4 linked regions of the Nothobranchius furzeri genome follow. The protein of the gene in region 4 interacts with the protein of the main gene of each other region in a pairwise test. Links are inferred from orthologs where the notes say so. Each region holds a gene or a part of one and is shown on either strand. Other genes may lie near its edges. The genes, in order: htt, ikbkg, plk1 and tank.

Region 1 (5,198 bases), on a different chromosome or scaffold from region 4:
TTTCCTGAGAACGAGCGGACTGCAGGAAGACCCTCCCCCCGCTGCAAGTGGCAGGAAAAACAGGAAGCAGTATCAGGAGGTGAGAGAGAGACAGAAGCAGCAAAAGCAAAACGAAGACTCACAGAAAAAAAGAGACAATCATTTAGAAACAGACAGAGCCGGGTTAAGGAGCAAAGACGAAGCCGCATCACTCAGCACCAAAGAGATGACGAGCTTTCACCCTGCAGAAACCACCCGGCTCCTTCTACGGCTGACATTACCGATGAGCTCCAGGATGCTTCCCGAGCGAGCGCGGCTCTCCGTGTCCTGGCGAAACACGGTGGCGTGTGGGATGCTGCCGGCTGTGATGAGCATGTGCAGAAGCTCTGGTGGGGGGGTCCTGAACATCTGCTGCAGCAGCTCCAGGGCAGCGGCGACCACGTTGTGGTCCCAGTGCTGCGTGTAGTGCAGGGTCAGCTCGTACACCTTCAGACACGCGCAGCATTGTTCAGCAAACAGCCCCAACGCATGGAAACATTCACCTGACGCACGCTCACCTGCAGCAGCTGTTCAGGTGTTGGCTGCACATCGGCCTCCTTCCTCATGACCCCAAAGCTGCCTTTGAGGCTGGAGGTGTTGACTTGATGCTGCAGCAGAGGCATCAGGTAGCGGAGAGTTAGCAGCACCCCCAGAATCAGGTGGCTCAGGCGCTCGTCGTCTACCGGAACCAGCAGGCCTAGAGAACGATGGAACAGGTGTGTTGTGTTGCCGTTAAACTGGGCGTTACCCTTAAACAGGCGTTACCGAAGCACTCTTCTAGAGTAACCCACCCAGCAGCACGTTAAGGAGCCAGGTGTAGAAGTAGCTGTTGCGTCTCGAGTGCTGGCACACGCTGACGGCCGAGCTGGCTGCCGTACGCCGGATGGTGGGGGAGCTGGACTTCAGGTTGGCAACAAATGACTTCAGCAGCACCTAAAAAAAGACGCTAAATGAAACGATGTGCTTCTAAAGCTGCGGTCTGACCGCACAGACGGATACTTCGCCAAGAGGCCAACACATAACTCTGACAAAACACACAAGTGGGCGGGGCGCACCTTGACTTCGCCGTCGTTGGCGAAATGTCCCAAGGCTGACATGATCTTGGGCACCGCTGCAGCCAGAGTCTCCTGAACCATTTCCTCCTGCCGTTTGGTGATTCTGGTGAGGCATGGGAGCAGGTTGACCAGGTACGGTCTGCAGCGCAGAGAGAAGCACAATCAGGTTGTGATGTATTTGAGTCGGAGACAACACTGAACGTGACTAGTCGCTGCCACGGTGGCTACACGAGGAGTTCTCAGCCACATTTTAACAAAACAAGTTTAGTCGTTAAACAAGTTTTAGGGATTCGACAGAAGAAAAACTACAAATAAAACTCTAAAAACTGGAATCTGGAGAAAAAGTCCATTCATGTAAGTAATTCAGCTCAGACTGAGAGACCATCTAAAGGCTCAGGAACCCTCTGCAGGTGTTCTGGATTCATCAGCTGATTAGACCGTGACACTTAAGAGTCTAGAACATTGAACAATATTCTGATTGCTGGAGATTTTGAATGTGGGGTTTTCATCAGCTGTAACCATTATCATCACAGATGGAACAGATAAAAGCCAAAACATCTGGATTTGCATGAACCGAGTCAGTCTCTGATTAGTTTTACCTTTTAGGTTGTTTTACTGACATAAATTAACTTCTGCACCAGATTCTGATCGTTTCATTTTCACCTGGCTCTCAGCAACGCAGCTTAAATCATCCAGCCCATTGTTTTACGTAAACCTAGAAGACCATGTTTAAAGGTGCATCATGTAGAAATGAAGTAAAAATGACATCCTGTGGTAAAATGTGGTTACTGCAGCCACGTTAAAGAGCAAGTCACCCCCAAATCAACATTTTTTTTCCCGATAAACTATATAAACGTGTGTCTAATCGTGCTGCAGACACGTGTAGTCAATAGTTTTGCACTTTAGTGCATTTTAGTTAAAATTCTAATTTTCTGCCTGAAACTGGCAGTGTTGTGCCGTTGTCAGGTAAAAAGTCTGCACTGCATTTGAATTTAAATCTGCCACTGCTATTGGCTAAGAGGTATGCTATGATGTAAACTGGTACATTATGATGTCACAATGTCGTGAGTGTGTGTATTTGTTAGTGGCTCCACCCTCTCGGTCTGCTAGGCAACAGCATTTGTTGCGCTTTTCAAACATGAAGTGGGAGTGAAGTACGCTTCTTGTAGGGGGTGACTTGCTCTTTAAAATTCAAATGTTCTGCCTAAAACCGTCAGTGTTGTGCCGTTGTCAGGTAAAAACTCTGCACTGCATTTGAATTTAAATCTGCCATCGCTATTGGCTAAGAGGTACCCTAGAATGTTAGCTGGTACCATATGATGTCACAAAGTCGTTGTGAGCCTGTGTGTGTATTTGTTAGCGGCTCCGCCCTCTCGGTCTGCTAGGCAACAGCATTTGTTGCATTTAACAAACAGGAAGTGGGAGCGGAGTAAGACTCTGGTAGGGGGTGACTTGCTCTTTAAACAACTCTGGAGCTTTTTGCCGGCCGTCGTCGGCGCTGCAGCATTAGCTCGGCAACGCCACACTCACTGATGTAAAGCAGTTACGTCCCTCCTTCCTTTGTATTGAAAGGAGAAAATCTGACAATTCCCACAGCCAGCTGGATATGAAACATGTTTCAGTTTAACCTTCCTGCCAACATGACTGAAACAGACTCTTATGGGATTTTCACACTAACATTCTCACTATAATCTTACATACTGCACCTTTAACGTTCAGCCATCTGAATATGACGACATAACAGGAACATTTAGACAGCTACCTGCATTTCTGTGGTCGGATGAGATGAGCGAGCTCAGCAAACCTCCACAAAGCTGCTCTTAGACTCCGAGAGGCACCGTTCTGTTGAGCCGTGAAAAACAAATGACAACGCTTGTCGTTATTTACTAGATCACAAACTAAACTCGGGGTACTGTAGAAACCTGCAAGCGACCTTTTTGATTTCTTTGTACAGCTCCAGCTGCAGTCTGGGCAGGTTTGAGTCCATCAGAGCCTGAAGAGTTAAAACAAGCACTGGTTCAACAACGAAAACAAACAGAAATCCTCACAGAGATCGTTTTATAACAACTAAACTGTTTTCTGTTCATTAAAATCAAAAGTTTCCTTTAATGCAAAAATTAGGAGAAAACCCCTCAAAACTACTTGAGGCGAAGCTTTTCCCTCGACCCCAACTCTCGACGTCTGTGCTGATGGGAAACATGGAGGGCCAGATTTAATGCAAACTGCGACATAAACGCGAGTCTGCCGACAACAAGCCAGTCAGTCAGATAAAAAGTCCAACACCGTCGAATCAAAGCCAACTTTAAAGTGGGAGGAGTCTTGCAGGTTTTTGCTCACTTTGATGATTTTGTTCAGGCACTCGTCAGCTACCATCCGCACATCTGATTCACCGTCGTCGCTGCAGAGAAGGAACATCTCCATGGCGATGCCGAGCAGCTTCTGGAACTCTGGAGATGTTCTGTTTGCAGGATCACACACAGCAAACATCAGGATTGGCATAACACGCCTGAGCCCTTTTCAGATTGGCATTCTGGAACATGTGTGGACAATTCAGTCCGGTTTTTAAGCAGGACTGTGTTTTCAGACACACCACTTTTGTACCTGAACTTGTCCTTTCAGCTGCCTTCACACAGCAGGGAAAAGTTCCAGATGTCTGAGGGGGAGGGGGTGGGAAGGCTGGACCCGGATATTGCGTAAACATGGTGCGGCGGGCGTACATGCGTCATTTACCCAAACAAAGCTATTCATTCAAACATGGCCGACGAAGAGCTAGAATTCCTCTCACTGGTCGGACTTATGTTAAGCATAATTCTGCACACATGAAGACGAGACCTGGATGATGAAGCTCAATGGTTAATAAAGGAATCACGGAAGCGGTGTGAAGCGCTCCGTCTCGCGCCTAGGAGACGGTACCGTAGGAGGCGAGCTGCCATGGATCACCGCAGGCTACAGGAGCGAGCCATCTAGGTGCGCACAGCGCCTCCCGGTCCCCTCCCTGTCCGGAACTCGACCTCACCAGTCTGAAGCAGCTAACCTGTCCGTGACAAGTCCGGTCCTGTTACTAGGGGCTTCGTCCGGTTTAATTACGGAAAAGGTTATCCGGATGTTTGTATTCAGACACAAAGGTCTTAAGGACAGAGTCCCGAACATTTCCGTTTTTCATGGCCTGTCTGAAGGGGGCTCTGGAGACGTAAATCTCATTTTTATGACATGAAAGTCACCGTTAATAGACCCTTTTACTACCTACGTCATCAAAAGTTGCGCGCGCAGCCGGGCAACGAGAGTGAAGGCTTCCTCATTCACACTCGATACTAAAACAGCGTTTTAAACCCTTTGTTTTGAAGTTCTGAGCACATAAAAATGTCGGGTTGTTGCGTGTATATTATTACCAATTAATTAAGAAATAATACATTCAATGTGCAACCACAAACCAGAACTTTAGATTACACTTGTCATTCGTTACATGCCTCTTAGTGTGACACTGCTCCTCCTAACAGTTTCGGAAGCAGCTGGGAGCTTTTATGCTAAACTTCTTCGGTTTGTGGAAACTGATCTTCTTCAGTGGAGCTGGTTCTACATTTTTCCTGCTCAGGTCTTTCCATGCACATGCCTGAGATGTAACTGCAGCCTTTTCTGTTTTTCCCATCCTAACACAAAACTCAACTTTGAATAAAATTGCTGCTGCGTGGCTGCAGCATGACCCAAGTCTGGAACATCAAAATGACAGAATTAAACAAATTTATATGCTTTATTTCATGCTTCAAATTAACATTTCATTCTAATTCATCTGTATTTTCCCACTGCCTATTAGTATAAACTGTATTTCTCTAAAATTAACACGATTGTACTCTGAGCACGCTAAAAAAAGAAACCTATGCTATACTCACCCTGCCATGCAGGTACAGTTGGCTGTGAAGACGTAGTTCTCTGGTTTGTTTACTATGACCCAAGCCTCGTACATAGCAGTCTTGTGTCCTTGTCTTTGGCTAGGAAGGACTTCTGCCTTCAAGACGCAACACTCAGAGTCTATGTCGTGATATTTTACTTTCTGTACGTGGCCACAGACAACACAGTTGTATGCATCTAACGATTTGTATCTCACGTGTGTTCTTACTGGGCCTCTCC
Region 2 (5,737 bases), on a different chromosome or scaffold from region 4:
TTCGGCGACTGGTTTTAACTGACCTGTTCGGTGACTGGTTTTAACTGACCTGTTCGGTGACTGGTTTTAACTGACCTGTTCGGTGACTGGTTTTAACTGACCTGTTCGGTGACTGGTTTTAAATGACCCGTTGGGTGACTGGTTTTAACTGACCCGTTCGGTGACTGGTTTTAACTGACCCGTTCGGTGACTGGTTTTAACTGACCTGTTGGGTGACTGGTTTTAACTGACCCGTTCGGTGACTGGTTTTAAATGACCCGTTCGGTGGCTGGTTTTAACTGACCTGTTCGGTGACTGGTTTTAACTGACCTGTTGGGTGACTGGTTTTAACTGACCTGTTCGGTGACTGGTTTTAACTGACCTGTTGGGTGACTGGTTTTAAGTGACCTGCTCGGTGACTGGTTTTAAATGACCTGTTTGGTAACTGGTTTTAACTGACCTGTTCGGTGACTGGTTTTAACTGACCTGTTGGGTGACTGGTTTTAACTGACCCGTTCGGTGACTGGTTTTAACTGACCTGTTGGGTGACTGGTTTTAAGTGACCTGCTCGGTGACTGGTTTTAACTGACCTGGTCCTAGTCTTATTGGTGTCTTGTTTCTGTTTTATTTGTGCTGTGTTCAGCTCTTTGGCCCTTGAGGATGATGGAAAGCGCTACACAAATAAAAGCTGATGCTTGAAAACCCAAACTTCAGCGGTTTAGGAGGAGCAACCAAACCAAAATATTCCTTCTTTCTTAAGGAAAATCTAACTGAACACACACATTTCCAGCTGCTGCTGATGTTTTTGTCCCTGCTTCTATTACTCGTTCACTTTTTTGACAGGTTTATGTGTCACTTCTACACTGAAACAATATTTACTTTGGTTTTTTTAACCCAACCTGTGGAAAAGTGAAACCGTTAAAAGTCAAGCCATGGTCCTGGTCTCCGTACCAGCTTTCCTCCTGCAAACAGAGCCATCTTTGTGGAGTTGGAGTGCAAACAGATCTGATGCTCTCCAGGAGTGTGAGAGGTGAAGGTGAAGCGTCCGTCAGAGCCGTACTGACGAGAGAGGATGATCTGGAACGTGGAGGAGACACCTTCAGACTTACACCTCTGCTCTGAACCTCCAGACCTTCCTGTCTGGCTTTACCTTCGTGTCTGGATCCTTGATCTCTACATGCATGCCAAGGCCGGGGGTGGATGGGAGGAAGGAAGTGGTTTGTTTGTCCCACAGCTGAGTCCGGTACTTTCCTGTCACACACACACACACACACACACACACACACACACACACACACACACACACACACACACACACACACACACACACACACACACACACACGATCATCCACAAATTGGATGCCAGTAATAAACCAGCTTAACATCTGCTGTCCTGTGTTAGGACGGAATATTGGACACATGGATGTAATAATAGTATTTATCTCATAAAATCATCCCAGCAATGAATGAAATATTTAATAAACATTCACATTTATACCCCATCTCCTCTTTGCATTTAAAAGATTGTGTATTCATTTTGATATTTGACAGATCTTTTGTTTAGGTTTGATGGAAATACCTTCGTAAACAGGAAAATGTTTATTTTATTGATAATAAACAACAAGCTAAAGATCAATGGCCAAAAGTTGAATGTTTCCCTTAAATGATCTGAATTTTCAGATATTTAAACGTTATTTCTCCTCAGTGGTGAACAACCCGCAGCTGAAGCCTCCAGAATTTCCTGTCTGACTCGAGTCTCTAATAATAATAATAATAATAATAATAATAAACAACTATTGGTGTCATCTGCTGCATCTTTAAACAACCAGCTGTTAGCAAGACGGCTAGTTAGCTGCGTTAAGCTAACCGGCTCACCGATCACCATCGTCTCGTCTGGAATTTCTTCAATGAAGCATTTTTTCTCCGTCTCTCCGATGTGGAAATAAAGCGCGCCGCTGGGGTAAATCCAGGCCACCAGAAGAGAAACCGCTGCGGCAGAGATGGGGAGCATCTTCACCTCCTTCACGTTAGCGGACATCAAAATGCTGCAGCGCACTGACGTCATCTTCCACTACGGAACAAGGAAGGGGCTTTCCTGAGAACGGAGTGTTTACACCCTGGGTTAATACTGACAGGAGAGTTTTCCTCTGCAGCGCTTAAAGATACGATGTGCCACTGGTATTATTTAAATTCACAGCCATTTCGATTTGATCACACACTTGTAATTTGTCAACTTTTTTATTGTTCATTTGTGTTAATTAAACGTCTTAAAATAAACGACACGTTTTTCGATGTTCGAGTCACGGGTGTTCTGCCTACAAGGCTAAACTGAGGGTGATATATCACGATTTTTCCACGCTAATAACAGTCGAAAAGCTGACAGCTTACCTTTGGTTTGCCTCTGATTTACCTCTGGTAGTCTTAAACTCACGAAGGAAAGGATTCAAAACTGGACACATGCTTTAGGAAGGCCACATGATCCGTTGATGTAGGTCCGTGTTTATGTGAAACCAAAGGCGTCCGTTTGCCCAGCCGTTGTTGTGCTATATTAGCTTACTGAGCTAATTAGCTGTATCTCAGCTGTTTGAGTCAGATTGCTCTTTTAAACTCGGTGAAGGGAGTAGTTTGTGAGTCTGAGACTGGATAATTGTTGTTTACGACATAAAATTTAAAAAGGTAAGACAAGTTTTGTGTCTGTTAGCTGTGTGTTAGCTATGTTGTCTAAACAGTATTTAACGTGAGCTTTGCTGAGGTTATCGTGATGTTCTTCATAGCAGACACCTGATCTTACTTTTATGACAATGACAAGGCTGAGGTCCCATAAGAAGAGGTTGATGACCACCTGTTCTCAGGTGTAACTGTTCAGAAGGGCTTCTGGCACCTCGCCAATGAGCCGTGACACAAACCGGTCATATTAAACACAGTTAATTCACATTTAAACTGAAAGTGAAAGTTTCACGTTTCCAGATCCCCAACGGGGCTGAAACGTGTCCAGTCCCCCTAGACGTCATGCTCAGGTCTTACTTACACCTGAAATGTTCACTTGTTCCATGGTGGCTTTTAGGATCGTTTTTCATTTTATTTTTCTTTTAATCACATATTTATGTACTTCTTATTTTAAAATCAAACAGCACAGCCACGATTTGAGCCTGCTGTCTCTCAAATAATAACAATTTTAATTGAACAAGGACAATATTCATACAAGGGAAAAATATACATGCAGGAGATCCTTGTGACTTCCTGTTTTTTCATCTTTATGAGCCATTTGGTATGTTATAGTAATGTGAATTTAACAATAAGAACATGGTGATAACTAGAATTAGAACCATTTGTATTTCTGATATTTTTGTGCATTTGAAAGCGATCGGCTGTAGACTCAGATAATTGCTTGATTGTTCTTTTTTCTAATTTACTTCTGACTTCAATGTGTAGATTATTGGAAACCATATTTATAAGTAAGGAAGTAGTTAGCGAACCAGGGGAAACTTTTTTCTTACTAGAGCTACAGAAGCAGCAAAAGTTGCTGTTTTGTCTGTTGTTGCATTAGATGACAATCGGAGCGACCACAATAACATAAAAAAAGGAATAGAATAGACTTTATTAATCCCACAGTGGTGAGATTCACTCACTACAGGTGTGACGTCATAAAGCAGTAAAGAAGTGACTGAACTCTGCAGTTTCTGGGATGATTTTCTGTTGGTGGTGAAACAAACTGTTCCTGCCTCTGCTGGTTTGAACTGACCTGCAGTGTTGATGGTAACAGGTTTTTTAGTCTTTCTTACCAACGTACACAATATGTTTTAATTTGACTAACAAAAAAGTTTCTCCAATGCCCGTTTAAATAAATGCCACGAAGGCTGGATTTTAGACGTTATTAAAAAATGAGCTAAAAGTGTAACAAGTCTCCAAAGGAAACCAGGAAACAGGTTCAGGAACCGCCAGAGTCTGAGTTCTTCATATGAAGAAGTGAATGGATTAGATCTCTGTAATTCCCAGCCTTTGCTTCTGCAGGAATGGTGCAGCCGCAGCCTGATGGTCCGATGCAGTGGGACATGTCAGGAGAGGACTGCGGGGGGGTCCTCAGGGTCCCACCAGAGTTCGCTGGTAATGAAGTGGTGACCAGATTGTTGTGTGACAACCAGCAGCTTCGAGGTACCTAAAAACACACGACGGTCACGCTTGTGTGTATTACCAGATGCTCAGCGGGGCTTTTAGGTTTCCGTGTGTCTGATTTAGCATTTTCAGAAGTCGTTTAAGTTTAGAGTTATCGAGGTAAAAGAACAAAGTAAATTCAAACAGTAATTTCAGCCTTTACTGTAACGGTGATTGGATGCAGGAGCGGTGTCCACGACAGGCTGAGTTTATCAGGATCAACACATGCTGCTTTTATGCAGTTCCAGACTTTCCTAGATGACAATCCAATCCTTGAGTTTTTCAGTCTGCTTCTTGTTGTCGGCACAGCTCTGAATCTGCTCTTCTAGCTGTCCGTAGCAACATTTCTTTAGCTGCTGATGCTAAATCGGCAGCGGTTTTGGTTCTACTAGCCCTCTCAGCAGCCTCGACACAATCAACCACCCACTTCCTATCAGAATAGTATGTTGGCATTTGAGGTAGGAGTCAGTGAATCCTGCCTTGCTCAGCTTCAGAGGGTTCTGAGTGCTGCAGCTCGCCTTTTAAGTGGCAATCAAAGGTTTTCCCTCATTTTAGCCTCCCTGCACTGGCTGCTTGTTCATTTTAGGATTGATTTTAAAATGATTTTATTTGCTTTTAAGGGCTTAAATGGCCCGGCCCCTCCCTATCTGTCTGAGCTACTGCATCGCTACACGCCCGCTCGTTCGCTCAGGTCAGCTGATCACAGGAGTAGCTACTCCTCAACACGGATCAGTCACCCACACATTCACACACTGGTGGTGATGAGCTACGATGTAGCCACAGCTGCCCTGGGGCGCACTGACAGAGGTGAGGCTGCCGAGCACAGGCGCCACCGGTTCCTCCGACCACCACCAGCAGGCAAGGGGGGTTTAGTGTCTTGCCCAAGGACACAACAGCAGCATTCTCTGGTCAGAGTCGGGATCAAGATGGTGAGATTTCATCCATCATGACGTGTCAGAAAGACAGTCTGAGATGTGTGTGGAAATTGTGGGCTCATCCGGCGGGAATGACGGATAGAGCTGGGTGTCGTCAGCATAGTAGTGGTAGGAGAAGCCATGTGATTGAATGATCTCACCCAGTGAGGTGGTGTATATGGCAAAGAGGTGCTAGTACAGAGCCCTGGGGGACTCCTGTGGCAACATGGTGAACAGCAGAAGACTGTCCTAGCCACGATACACTGAATGATGGTCCTGTCAGGTACGATTCAAACCAGGAGTGTGCTTTCCCTGTGATGCCCACGCTAGAGGGTGTGGACTAAAGGAAGCCATGGTTCACAGTGTCCGATGCAGCCGATTGGTCAAGCAGGATAAGTACTGAGGATTTGGCAGTCGCTGTTAGTCACTGCTAACAGAGCCGTTTCAGTGGAGTGGCCATCTTTTAACCCGGGTTGGTAGAAGAAGGGTCAAGCAGACAGTTTTGTGACAGGTGTTCTAAGATCGGCTTGAAGGCCGCCCTTTCAATGATTTTAGACAGGAATGGGAGGAGAGATAGCTCGGTAGTTCTCCACATGATCTGGAGGAAGGGAAGGTCTTTTAGCAGCAGTTTAACCTGAGCGTGCTTGAGAGAGGTGGGAAGTGAGGTCAGTGAAGCGTTCATCACACGTG
Region 3 (5,910 bases), on a different chromosome or scaffold from region 4:
GTAATATTAAAAGTTCTGCGACTAGAAGGGAAAGTGATTGAAGGTTTGAGGAACAAACTAGACTATTGTGCAGGAGAAGAAGCCTTGCTGTCCTGCAGCTTCTCCACCATCTGCTTGGCGTAACGTATGCGGCTAGCCAGCTCCTTACTGCAGCCGAACTCCTCCAGAAGAGACAGCTTGTAAGTGCGGAAGTCTCGCTTCTCGTCGATGTAGGTCACCGCCGACATGAGCGGACACAAGATCAGCTTGGTGTGATCCTGAAAAGCACATAATGATAGAAGATGAGGGATCGCGCACGTGAAGCATCACGCGTTGAGTGAAAGGGTTAACCATCTAACCTGGAAGAAGTTGATCTGAACTGTGCCGTTGCTGAGGTGCAGTACGATGGCGCTTTTCGTCCTAAACCACAAGGAGAGGTAAGGCAGCCGTGCCAGCTCATCTCCCTCCCGCCGCGCCATGTTGGCCCCAGCTTTCAGGAGGTGCTCGCTCATATAGTTACGGAAGTATTTCAGCAGCGTAATCTACAGCCAGAGAGAAATACAAGTCACTGTGATGGCCTTGAAGGGGATAAAATGGAATTAAAAAATAAATAAAAACACTGTCTGACCTTTTTGTTGAGAGTAGCGGGGAAAGAGCGAACGCTGAGGTAGGACTCAGCTGCAGTCTTATCGATGTACTGGAGGCTGTCTCCGTCAGCGTACATGATGAGCCGGGTGTAATCGTTGAACAGAACCCCCACGCTGTTGTCGCAGAGCTGGTAGCCTGGAACAGACATTAAAAACTCTGTAAAGATACTTTTAACAGTACCAGATAACATCTATACAGGGTATCTGCAGGTTTAAGGGAGCCAGATTTAAGACTTTTTAAGACCTTTTTTAAGGCCACTTTGACCAAATTTAAGCTTCTTTTTTTTTTAAATTAAATTTAAGCTATAATTTCCAGCTATTGCCTGGAACCGGTGCTAACCAGGTCGTGAACGTGGGATTAGCCATCCATTTACCATTAATGTTGCACTTCCCCATGGTGCAAACTCCCACTAGCATGCTCATCTAAAAATAGCCCCCTTTCACAACCAACCGAATGTGTACGGTTCCGCTTACGCCAATATCATACACAAAAAATGCCAAACTAACTAGAAATTCATGAAAATTTTATAGAAATAAAAGAATCTTGTTTATTGGGTCTTTGGTAATTTAAGACCGTTGGAAACTATTTAAGGACTATTTGTCATTTTTAAGGATTTTTAAGGCCTTAAATTTGGAAAAGCTAATTTAAGACTTTTTATGGACCTGCAGATACCCTGTATATACTTTTAATAGTCTAAACCAAACTTACAAAGTTAAAATTGCAGCTTATGTGAACAAACAAACGGTCTCCTAACATTTACCTAATCCATATTTATCAGAGTAGTCGACCCATTTGCTGATCCAGAAGATGGGGATGCACGCAGGATCCTCGGCCTCCTCTGGAATTACACAAAAAAACCTTAGATGTAGATTAAAAAGTAGATAACCGCATCCGTTTTGACAAAATTCAGAGAAATAGCAACAGAGACTCCACAAGATCGGTAAAGACGAAGTGAGACACGTCCACTAACCTTGCTGGATGACGGCCCTTTCAGAGGGTTTGGTGGACATGATGCTGTTCAGCTGCTGCAGCATGTCTTTCAGGTAGGGCTCTGATGGTTCAGCCGCCCTGCACACACACACATTTAAAGGTTAACAACATCTACGCAAAGAAAAGATAAAAACTAACAGAACTAGAATTTTTATAAAATGTTTGTCATGTGATAAATAAATGAAAAACACCTTTGCATAGGCTCGTCTTTCACCTCCGTTTTCTCCGTACCAACTGGGAACAAAGAAAAAAAAAACGTTAACATCTAAAACAAGACTAATAAAATCTATGTGGATCAACTCAAACATCATTGCCTAGGAAAAATAAAAACAAAGATTTTCATTTTGATCGCCATTACCCTTGTTTAGAGCAGTCAGAGGACGCCGCTGGCTGAGCTCTGCAGTTGTGGAGGGGGCGATGGAGAACCGAGGGGGTACAGTAAGACACGTGGTGGGCAGACGGAGGGGGATGTAGCCGGACGTAAAGAACTCATCGGCCTGCACTTCAGCAACGCTTGGCCTCTGTGCAGGATCGGCGTGCAGCATCTTCTTGATCAGAGTCGCCGCAGTCGGGGTGATGTGCTGCAGGTTGTTCAGATCATACGACTCAATTATTAACTTAATTTTAGAAAGAAAACGGTGCATTCAGTTTGATTTTCATACCCAGGGGATGGTGTAGTTGTTCTTCTTGATGCGACTGTAGGTGTCCTTCAAACAGGAGGTCTCAAACGGGGGCTTGCCCACCAACAGAGTGTACCTGAAAGAACAGAAAAGGGAAGCTTTCACAGCTGGGACATTTCAAATGAGTTGCGTTTGTGGGCCTGTACTTACAATATGCACCCAAGTGACCAGACATCGACCTCATAGCTGTGGCCCTTTTTACAAAGCACTTCTGGTGCTATGTAGTTGGGCGTTCCACACAAAGTCTTCTTTCGTTCGCCTTCAAACTCGATCTTAGTCGCCAAGCCAAAGTCCCCTAAACAAGAGAGAACACGTAATAACGAGGCATGCTTTGATTCAAATCCTTCTCGACGTGATAAAAACAAAAGATCTAGTGCAAGCTACAAGTCCAAGCAAGTGGAGTACCAATTTTGACATCCATGTCGTCGTTGAGGAAGATATTGCCCAGTTTCAGGTCTCTGTGGATGACCTTGTTGTTGTGCAGGTACTGGACACCCTTCAGCAGCTGGGCCATGTAGTAGCGAGCTTCAGGCTCCGTCACAGCCTTGCGGCGTTTGTGCAGCTCCAGCAAGGACTGAAATAAAGCATTTTAAACAGTCAAGACAACAGCTCAAGAAAAGAGTGATCTTTTATGCGTTTAATTATAAGATTGAACATATGGTACACATGGGGCCACCAGAGTGGTACTGGACCAATAAACCCACATTTATAGGCTAGAAGTTTCTTTTTAAGATGTTTTTATCAAAGATCAAATAGTTGTGAGGTGTTAAATGAGTCTGGTACTGCTTGCTTCCCACTATTTAAACATGAGGACAACGGAAGATGTCGCAGTGTTTAACCGTCGGCTCTAAACCTCACTGAAAAGCTGGTTTCCTTCCATCGTACTCACCCTTCTCCTGCAGATCTCCAGGACCACAAACACATGGTCATCGTCTTCGAAAAACCCGTGGAAGCCGACGATGTTAGCGTGATCCAGACTCTTGTGTATGGCGATTTCCGAGGTCATCTTATCCCTTTGGTGCTGCTTTTGTAACAAATACTTAGCTACGATCTTGCCAGCAAACACCGTCTTCGTCTCTACATCTGTGATCTCGTAGCATTTGGCGAAACCACCCTTCCCGAGGAATCTCCCCCTCGTGTATCTTTTCATGGTTCGGGAATCAACGAGAATTTCTGGGATTTCTTTGAGAGGTGCCGATTTGGGATCCGCACGTTCCAACGGCTTTGCGGTACCAGCACTCATTTTGTATTAGAGCTGTCTTCTATGAACTTACAGGAATGTTTATTTTCTCTCCGCGCAGTAAACGTGGTGAAAACTACAAGAATCAAACTACTAACCCTAACACAACCGACGTTACTTTAGCCTAGCTAGCTAACTTTCTCCCATACACGTCTGAATTTAAATCTAATCACGAGTTTAGACTTCCTGAAAGCAAGCGATAATTAACATTAGGTTCTACAATTATAAAACGACATATATAGACATAAATATTAAAATAAATCTGCTTTCCTCATGGAATAATTCAGCAGACGTGTCCGACGGCGGCGTCTCCTGTGTTCTGTTCTGCCCTTCGAAAACAGTTTCTAGTATTAAGTTAAATGCTCGCTCTGTCGCCACGGCGCTTTCTCATTGGTCCACTTGATTTGAATTCTACGCAAAGCATTGTGGGAAGAAAAATGCAAAACTAGCCAATCAACGGGGTTGAAATAAAGTTCTAACATCGTGATTGGCTCAATGACGTCTTGCGTTTCCTTAACGCAAAGGCTGATGGTAAATGTAGACTAGTGTTAGATTTTACTTGATTTTATCGTCATCCAGAATCCAAGAAGGATTTAATTTTAACATGTAATCATATTATTAAACTGGATAAAACAGTGAAACGACAGTGTGGTCAAAATAAAAACGAAAATTGAAATAAAATAAGACGAAATGCACAAACGTTTTGAGTAATAAAAGCATGTTTGCAAAAACGATATCGGCACAGAACTATTAAATTGTGTATTTCTACAGTTAAAAGGTAAATTGAGAAAATCATGATGTTGCAAAAAATTACATTATTGATAGTTTAATTCACTTTCACACATATTCCACTGGGTGGCAGCAGTGGACAAATTCACAATTATTGTTCCTTGAGAAAGCACTTTTTTCAGACCAATCACACAATAAGCACTTCATATGACACAGCACGGATTCACAGCTGTAAATAATGAGATCATAAATAGATTATTGTCATGATGGTCTAGAATTAACTTTATAAATGTCTAATCATTAAATAGGTAACATCATCTTAAAATAAAAATTTCAGTCCACAACACTTTTTCCAGGGAATCATTTTCTGTTGAAGCCTCCCATAGTTATTAAAACAAAAAGTAAGAGTGCACAGCTAGTGGCTGATTTGACTTTGTTATAAGGGGGGATGTTTAATATAGGGACTATTTACTATGCACACACTCTTTAAAATATGTGTGTTTTACAGTTTTTTGTTTTTTCACTTTGTGTGTTTGTTTATAAATGGTCTTCAGGCTTTAGTCCGACTGGTGGGTGATGTGTGGAGATTGCTGGCTTATATGTGTCTGTTCCATTTTTGCACATTCATCCTTCTCTTCTGCTGCCATGTGTTTCCATGGCAACACACAGAAGATGCTGTAGGGAAAACTAAATGAAGTAAGCTTGTCTGTGCTTGTATGGGTCAACATTTACACACATTTAGTTTATTACACAGGATTTTGCAGAGAGCTGAACGTCCTCTGCAGAGGGGCACAAAGAAAGTAGAGTAGGTTACCTCCCTCCATGTTTCATCTTCTTTTCTTCCACAGTTTTGGCTCACTGGAATCTCAAGGGTGCTGTGAGCTCTTTAATTTTTCACCTACATAAAGTAAAGCGTTAGCAAAACCAGGACAAAGGATGTTTTTTCCTAAATCAGAACAACATGCTTGCCACATTTAGAATACATATTTCAGCCAAAGATATGTAAATATAGAATAAAATTAATCAAAATGTCTGTCTTCAAAAGTGATGGTGAAATCTAAAAGTTATGTGGAGAATGCAAACTTTTAGTTTTCACTTTATAATAATGAATGACCTAAAAAGACTGTAGGGACTGTTTTAAATATTCAAATGATGCTAGCACTATGCATTTGTTTGTAATGTTTGCCAGGGACCAAGGACAGGAAAAATGATCTGTTGAAAAGAGAAATAGTGTATGATATTTGTATTCTAATCCGTGTTGGGATTAAAGATCCAATGTAACTAAATATGGTGTGATAATTTCCTCCAGCTTTTCATTTTATACTCATTGGGACCTTAAAGGATTAAAGTTTCATTTATTCACTATTAAGTAAATTGTAAAATAATCAGATTGTCTTATTAACTATCTATTTCTTTTTTTTTTTTACCTTTTTTTCTCCAGCTCAGGGAAATTATAAACAGACGTGTTTAATAATAATAATAATAATACATTTTATTTAAAAGCGCCTTTCAGAACACCCAAGGTCACTGGGTGCAACTTAAATACAAATATTGACATACTGCAACAGCTCTGTTCTTCAGCACTATTTTCCAGCATGCTATTTTCTTTCCAATAAAACTTTTATACTGTCAATGAAAATCAAT
Region 4 (5,829 bases):
CAATGGGGCAGTCCACCATCCTCCACTGAAGAAGTACCTCTATCTGCTCATGTCTCAAAGACAAGCCAAAGTCTTAATCGTCCACAATTGATGCCCAAGCCATTTCACACGAGCGCCGTTCTATAGCCGCTGTCATTGTTGTTGCAGCTCTGCCGTAATGATGCTAAAACGGCCCAACATCTCTACAAACACAGAGCGCTGTGATTGGCTCTGCCTAAACTTAGCCCAGCCAATGGTAGACCTGCTGAGGCTAGACCAACCTGCAGGGCAAAATATTTTTCTTCTGCTAAAGCTTGTCTAGATTTGTAGGCTAGTGGATTCCTGCTGCTTTGAAACGTATAGAATCTCAAATGTCCTATAGTGGTTTATACAAACACAAATTGGTAATCCTGCAACAATATCTGGAAGTGTTAAATTAGAATCAAATAACTATAGCACTTTGCATAAATGACCGTGTAACGCTAACTTGACAGAGATCTGGTCTTTTATTACATAGCTTGAGTATGAACCACTGTGACATTTTCTAATTAAGAGGTTTTTTTGAAGCAGAGAAAAAAATTCTTGGTTTTATCACTCAGATTACTTGATAGTTGGTCAGATATAAATTTTCCAAACTGAGGTGACTCAAAATACTTTCAACAGCAGGTAAGATAATTATTAATCGTAATTTTTCTACAGAAAACTCACTTCAGAAAAACCGAACCAGGACTTTAAAGGTGCCGTTTCTTACGGAATTAATGGAATTTTGCTGCAAAGACAATAAAAAAAGGCCCTAGAGCAGAGGATGCATCACGAGAATGAAGAAGACAAAAGCATTGATTCAAACCGCTGTCAGCCCTTTGCGTACATTTCATTTTTTTTTTTTTTTGCTAAACAAGCATTCGCACATATTCCCACTTTGTCAGCAGAGATTAGATGTTCTCATCATGTCCGACAACAAAGCAGCTCTCCACGAGGTTGTGTGGCGATAAAAGTTTCAGTGAATTACGTTTTATTCCTCTGATTTCTTGTTTTGGTGTGACCAAAAACCCACTGTGTTTCTCACTTCCTGGAACGGCAGCAGCCAGCAGATGTGTTGTGTCACTGTTTTGTTATCACGCATTTCAAATTGTCACCGTTTTTGGTTTCGTTAGTGGACGGAGGGTCAACAGAACGCAAGCAATAACATAACAAAGCAGCGAATTTAACTATCAGCAGTCAAATGTTGCACTTATCAACTCCAGTTAGCGCACAACCTGCTACTGATACTTTCATAGGGCTGTCAAAATTTACATGCATGATATGCACATGTACTAATTAAAGTTTCAAAAGGACACGGTTTAAACTGATTCAACACCGAGGGAAAAAAGATGTCTGCAGCCTTTAGGTCTAAAAGAACTGTAAAGAGATTCACACAAAAAATATAGATTTTTTTTTTCCTTTTCCTGTTGTGCAAGTTGTTAACGTGTTCTTGTTTGTTTTACATGAAACAGATCCTTTTAATTCACATTTTAGAAGATACAAAAACTTGAAAAATAATTTTTAAAAAGGTATTGTAGTTTTGAGTTATTAAAACATCCACTATGTAAAGAAAATATTAACCTGGTTAAATATGCTTTTAAATCTTTTTTCCCCCCAGAGATCAGCCACTGATGTTCTCAGAACAGATATAATTTAAAAACGAACACATATTTATGCAACTTAATAAAGCTTTTCTGCACATTTAAGGAAATTTTGTCAAGGTTGTGCAATACGAAGGTCACTATTACCGTTTGACGCATCGCATCCTCTATGAAATCTTTTCAGGTGATCTTTTTGTCTTCTGGTTAGAGACTGGATCTGTCGAAATCGACCTTGAATTGCTTCAAAAGCCCCCTGCATGTCCTGACTGGCAAATAAATAAAACAAAATGTAAGGGGGGGGTCACATTTTAAATTGTAAAATCAGGATTTGTGGATTTGAAGAGATAATAAAAGAAACAGTCAAGGAGAGACACGTACTAGTCAACGCCGCTGCTGCTGACGGGCAAATTAGGAGCAACGGTGCCCATCTTCTGAAAAAGACACATTAAATTTTTAGTTGTCATTAACAACAATTATCCAAGAGCATGCTGCCGAGACGTGCACACTTTTATTTCATGCATCACAAGTGAAAATGCTTCCTGGTTGGTTGAGACACAAAAAATTCCTTGAAAAGCTGAAGCTGCACTGAGCAGTGATGTTATCCTCTAGCACCATCTGGTGAAGTAAAAGGGGACGCACTGCAGGCCACAGTCTTATGTAAAAATGCTGAAGTCAGCAGAAAAATTAAGACATTGTCTTACTGTTGCTGAAATAATCAAGACAATAATATTATGACTATAATAAGTGCTGCACATATGGAAGAAAACATTACTAAGAACTAATCAAGACCATTAAGGGAAATGCTAAAAAGTACCAGTTTGAATCATGTATTAATATTCTACACTTCTAGATGGGTGCAGGTCTGATTTGTTCCTGTAAGTCCTTTTATATAGCAGCACCAAACTAAAGCAGAAGCTCTGCCAACTTCTACAAATGTGAGAGGAAGCTGCAAGCTACTGGATGCATGTCCTTAATTTCAACGATGAGGTGGAAAGAGCTGTGACTCTTACGCGAGAACACACCGGGGTCTGTGGTGTCCTGTAAGTGCCGGGCCCTTCGAGGAGATGGTTGCAAGGCTCACATTTTATTTCTTCTAGGAATCAAAATGTAGGAAATTAAGAGAGTAAAACAAAATACAAGTGTTTGAAATGTGGTCAAAATCCCAGGATGCGTGCAGAGTAAGAGCGTGTTTGTTCAAACCTGATGTTTGACTCGCTGCAGACAACTTAGCTTCAAGTTCAGAAATCAACCTCTGCTGGTCTTCTATCTGCTTCTGGAGCTCCTGAGTGTATCGCTCATAATATTCAGTCTGTAAACACACAATTTATGCTCAGTTACCCATCAATAAACACAGCTTTAGATGATTTACACAAATTTCTATTGGAAACATAAAGAACCAAATCTGCTTGCAACAATTTAACCCGCAGTTACCATTTTCTGCAGCTCCTTTTTAGCATTGTCCTTTTCGATGGAGACCTTGCGATAAGCTTCGAAAGCTTTGTTGAGCTGGTCTCCAATGTTCCTTTCCATGCCTTGTGCTCCGCGGTCATCACTGACACGGCAGACATGAGCCCTGTAAGTGAAATTTTAAACTATTACAGCCGCTTCTGCAAAAAAATAAATCACAATTCAAACAACTTTTAGGCATGATTTGCATTTACTATCTGCTTAATACTTATATTTTTTTGTTTCATTTTAAATTATGAAAAGAGACTTATATTTTGTACAAATGTTGCTAAATTCTTGTTGAAGTAATGGACTGATGCAATGAGGAAAACTGTATCAGGCTGAATTGAGCAATCATGAAAATACGTTTTTCTTCATGAATATTAAGTCTAGATGAAACAAAAGTTGGATCTAAATGTCAGATATTGATTTTCTTCTTCAGTTTTGAGGACATAAATGCAGATGAGCAGCTAAACCACTAAAAAGTGATGCAAATAATTTATGCTAATAGATTCACTGCTTTTTTAATTTAAATATTAGAGCAAAACAAATGGAGGACCGTGTTTACAGCTGAAACTGATGAGTGATAGTAAAGAAGCTAATGGAAGTCTTACCAGGATCTCTCCATCAATTATTCTCCATTAGAAGTGTCAGCTTAACCAGTAGCTACCAGCTGCTCCTGGATCAGTTACCGTAAGCTAATAAATACGCAGAAACCTTCCAAGAAACCTTTGAGTTTGACTTTTTTGGAGTGTTTCATAGTTCCGTATTATTTGAACTGTAACTATCTGTAATGCCTTCTCCTTCTGATGCTTTCAGCCGGTCAAATCAAAAAAGAACCAGAAGAAAAAGGAAAGAGACTCTCCGCGGATCCGCTCAGCCGGCGCGAGCGCGTCCCTTCTTACCTTCGTTCCAGCTACTCCTTAAAGTCTAATTAATGTCTTGTTGTGACACCACGGCCGCATCGTCGCCTAATCTTCTGATAGAAAGTTACGAAGCGCTACAGAGGATATGGTAATGTGTGTTTTACATAGCCCAGTTTGAGTTGGGAACTTCCCTCGGGGAATCCCCCTGCTCTGTGGACTTCCGCCTTTACCCGAGCCTGACCAATCAGCGGCGAGCTTGGAGGAGTGCAGGGTGGTTAACTGAACTGAGGGTTCTTCCAGCCTACGCGTCTACAAACCGACTGTTGTGCATGTGAAAATTGTCTCCAAAACTTGAGTTTTATGCTTTGTTACTTTCCTTTTTTTTAATTAATACTTCACGCCTACCTGTGCAGGCTTTGCCTAAAGATTTGCGACTGATTTGAATAAACCTTGCAAATCATTTGTTGCAGTGCTGTTGCTATTAAATTCAGGAAACAATAAGAACCTGTGTGCCTTACACATAAAATGATGCAAAACAAGTATGCATCTGCTAATTTACATTATTTTAATAGTTTATATGCAAATTTGCAGCCCATTCAGCCACAGACAGCAAAGTCTGAGGCCTTGCAAACGCAGCCCTGAAAACAGGTAAAATAATACAGGTGCTGGCCAGTAAATTAGAATATCATCAAAAGGTTGAAAATATTTCAGTAATTCCATTCAAAACGTGAAACTTGTACATTATATTCATGCAATGCACACAGACCAATGTATTTCCGATGTTTATTACGTTTAATTTTGATATTTATAGGTGACAACCAATGAAAACATCAAATCTGGTATCTCAGAAAATTAGAATATTCTAAAGGCCAATGAAAAAATGTTTGTTTCTCTAATGTTGGCCAACTGAAAAGAATGAACATGAAAAGAATGTGCATGTATAGCACTCAATACTTAGTCGGGGCTCCTTTTGCCTCAATAACTGCAGTAATGCGGCGTGGCATGGACTCGATCAGTCTGTGGCACTGCTCAGGTGTTATGAGAGCCCAGGTTGCTCTGATAGTCGTCTTCAGCTCCTCTGCATTGTTGGGTCTAGCGTATTGCATCCTCCGCTTCACAATACCCCATAGATTTTCTATGGGGTTAAGGTCAGGCGAGTTTGCTGGCCAATCAAGGACAGGGATACCATGGTCCTTGAACCAGGTGCTGGTGGTTTTGGCACTGTGTGCAGGTGCCAAGTCCTGTTGAAAGGTGAAGTCTGCATCCCCATAAAGTTGGTCAGCAGCAGGAAGCATGAAGTGCTCTAAAACTTCCTGGTAGACGGCTGCATTGACCCTGGACCTCAGGAAACAGAGTGGGCCAACACCGGCAGATGACATGGCACCCCACACCATCACTGACGGTGGAAACTTTACACTGGACCTCATGCAACGTGGATTCTGTGCTTCTCCGCTCTTCCTCCAGACTCTGGGTCCTTGATTTCCAAAGGAAATGCAGAACTTGCTTTCATCAGAAAACATAACTTTGGACCACTCAGCATCAGTCCAGTCCTTTTTGTCCTTGGCCCAGGCGAGACGCTTCTTGCGCTGTTTCTTGTTCAAGAGTGGCTTGACACACGGAATGCGACACCTGAATCCCATGTCTTTCATGAGTCTCCTCGTGGTGGTTCTTGAAGCGCTGACTCCAGCTGCAGTCCACTCTTTGTGGATCTCCCCCACATTTTTGAATGGGTTTGTCGTCACAATTCTCTGCAGGGTGCGGTTATCCCTAGAGCTTGTACACTTTTTTCTACCACATTTTTTCCGTCCCTTCGCCTGTCTGTTAATGTGCTTGGACACAGAGCTCTGCGAACAGCCAGCTTCTTTAGCAATCACCTTTTGTGTCTTGCCCTCCTTGTGCAAGGTGTCAATGATTGT

The links.
Region 1: the proteins of tank (region 4) and htt interact in binary tests that used the Homo sapiens proteins (3 or more experiments, as listed by UniProt). The link is inferred for Nothobranchius furzeri from reciprocal best matches to the Homo sapiens genes TANK and HTT.
Region 2: the proteins of tank (region 4) and ikbkg interact in binary tests that used the Homo sapiens proteins (3 or more experiments, as listed by UniProt). The link is inferred for Nothobranchius furzeri from reciprocal best matches to the Homo sapiens genes TANK and IKBKG.
Region 3: the proteins of tank (region 4) and plk1 interact in binary tests that used the Homo sapiens proteins (3 or more experiments, as listed by UniProt). The link is inferred for Nothobranchius furzeri from reciprocal best matches to the Homo sapiens genes TANK and PLK1.

The regions. Positions count from the first base shown.
Region 1 is NC_091746.1:25,504,896-25,510,093, reverse strand, and holds part of htt (huntingtin), read right to left. Parts: intron 3,532-5,198; coding exon 3,411-3,531; intron 3,067-3,410; coding exon 3,007-3,066; intron 2,916-3,006; coding exon 2,836-2,915; intron 1,213-2,835; coding exon 1,074-1,212; intron 952-1,073; coding exon 810-951; intron 716-809; coding exon 537-715; intron 466-536; coding exon 261-465; intron 42-260; coding exon 1-41.
Region 2 is NC_091755.1:44,541,142-44,546,878, forward strand, and holds the start of ikbkg (NF-kappa-B essential modulator), read left to right. Parts: upstream 1-2,134; 5' UTR 2,135-2,159; intron 2,160-2,332; exon of another isoform or gene 2,333-2,657; intron 2,658-3,992; 5' UTR 3,993-3,994; coding exon 3,995-4,133; intron 4,134-5,737. Other genes in the region: tmed4 (transmembrane emp24 domain-containing protein 4), read right to left, coding at 931-1,056, 1,130-1,230, 1,857-2,046. UniProt on the Homo sapiens protein: Regulatory subunit of the IKK core complex which phosphorylates inhibitors of NF-kappa-B thus leading to the dissociation of the inhibitor/NF-kappa-B complex and ultimately the degradation of the inhibitor.
Region 3 is NC_091744.1:8,885,733-8,891,642, reverse strand, and holds the start of plk1 (serine/threonine-protein kinase PLK1), read right to left. Parts: upstream 3,721-5,910; 5' UTR 3,541-3,720; coding exon 3,187-3,540; intron 2,872-3,186; coding exon 2,703-2,871; intron 2,593-2,702; coding exon 2,448-2,592; intron 2,374-2,447; coding exon 2,280-2,373; intron 2,199-2,279; coding exon 1,976-2,198; intron 1,852-1,975; coding exon 1,809-1,851; intron 1,696-1,808; coding exon 1,598-1,695; intron 1,466-1,597; coding exon 1,388-1,465; intron 763-1,387; coding exon 608-762; intron 522-607; coding exon 339-521; intron 258-338; coding exon 63-257; 3' UTR 1-62. UniProt on the Homo sapiens protein: Serine/threonine-protein kinase that performs several important functions throughout M phase of the cell cycle, including the regulation of centrosome maturation and spindle assembly, the removal of cohesins from chromosome arms, the inactivation of anaphase-promoting complex/cyclosome (APC/C) inhibitors, and the regulation of mitotic exit and cytokinesis.
Region 4 is NC_091754.1:19,406,452-19,412,280, reverse strand, and holds the start of tank (TRAF family member-associated NF-kappa-B activator), read right to left. Parts: upstream 3,942-5,829; 5' UTR 3,676-3,941; coding exon 3,662-3,675; intron 3,175-3,661; coding exon 3,033-3,174; intron 2,911-3,032; coding exon 2,802-2,910; intron 2,695-2,801; coding exon 2,612-2,694; intron 2,033-2,611; coding exon 1,980-2,032; intron 1,868-1,979; coding exon 1,749-1,867; intron 1-1,748.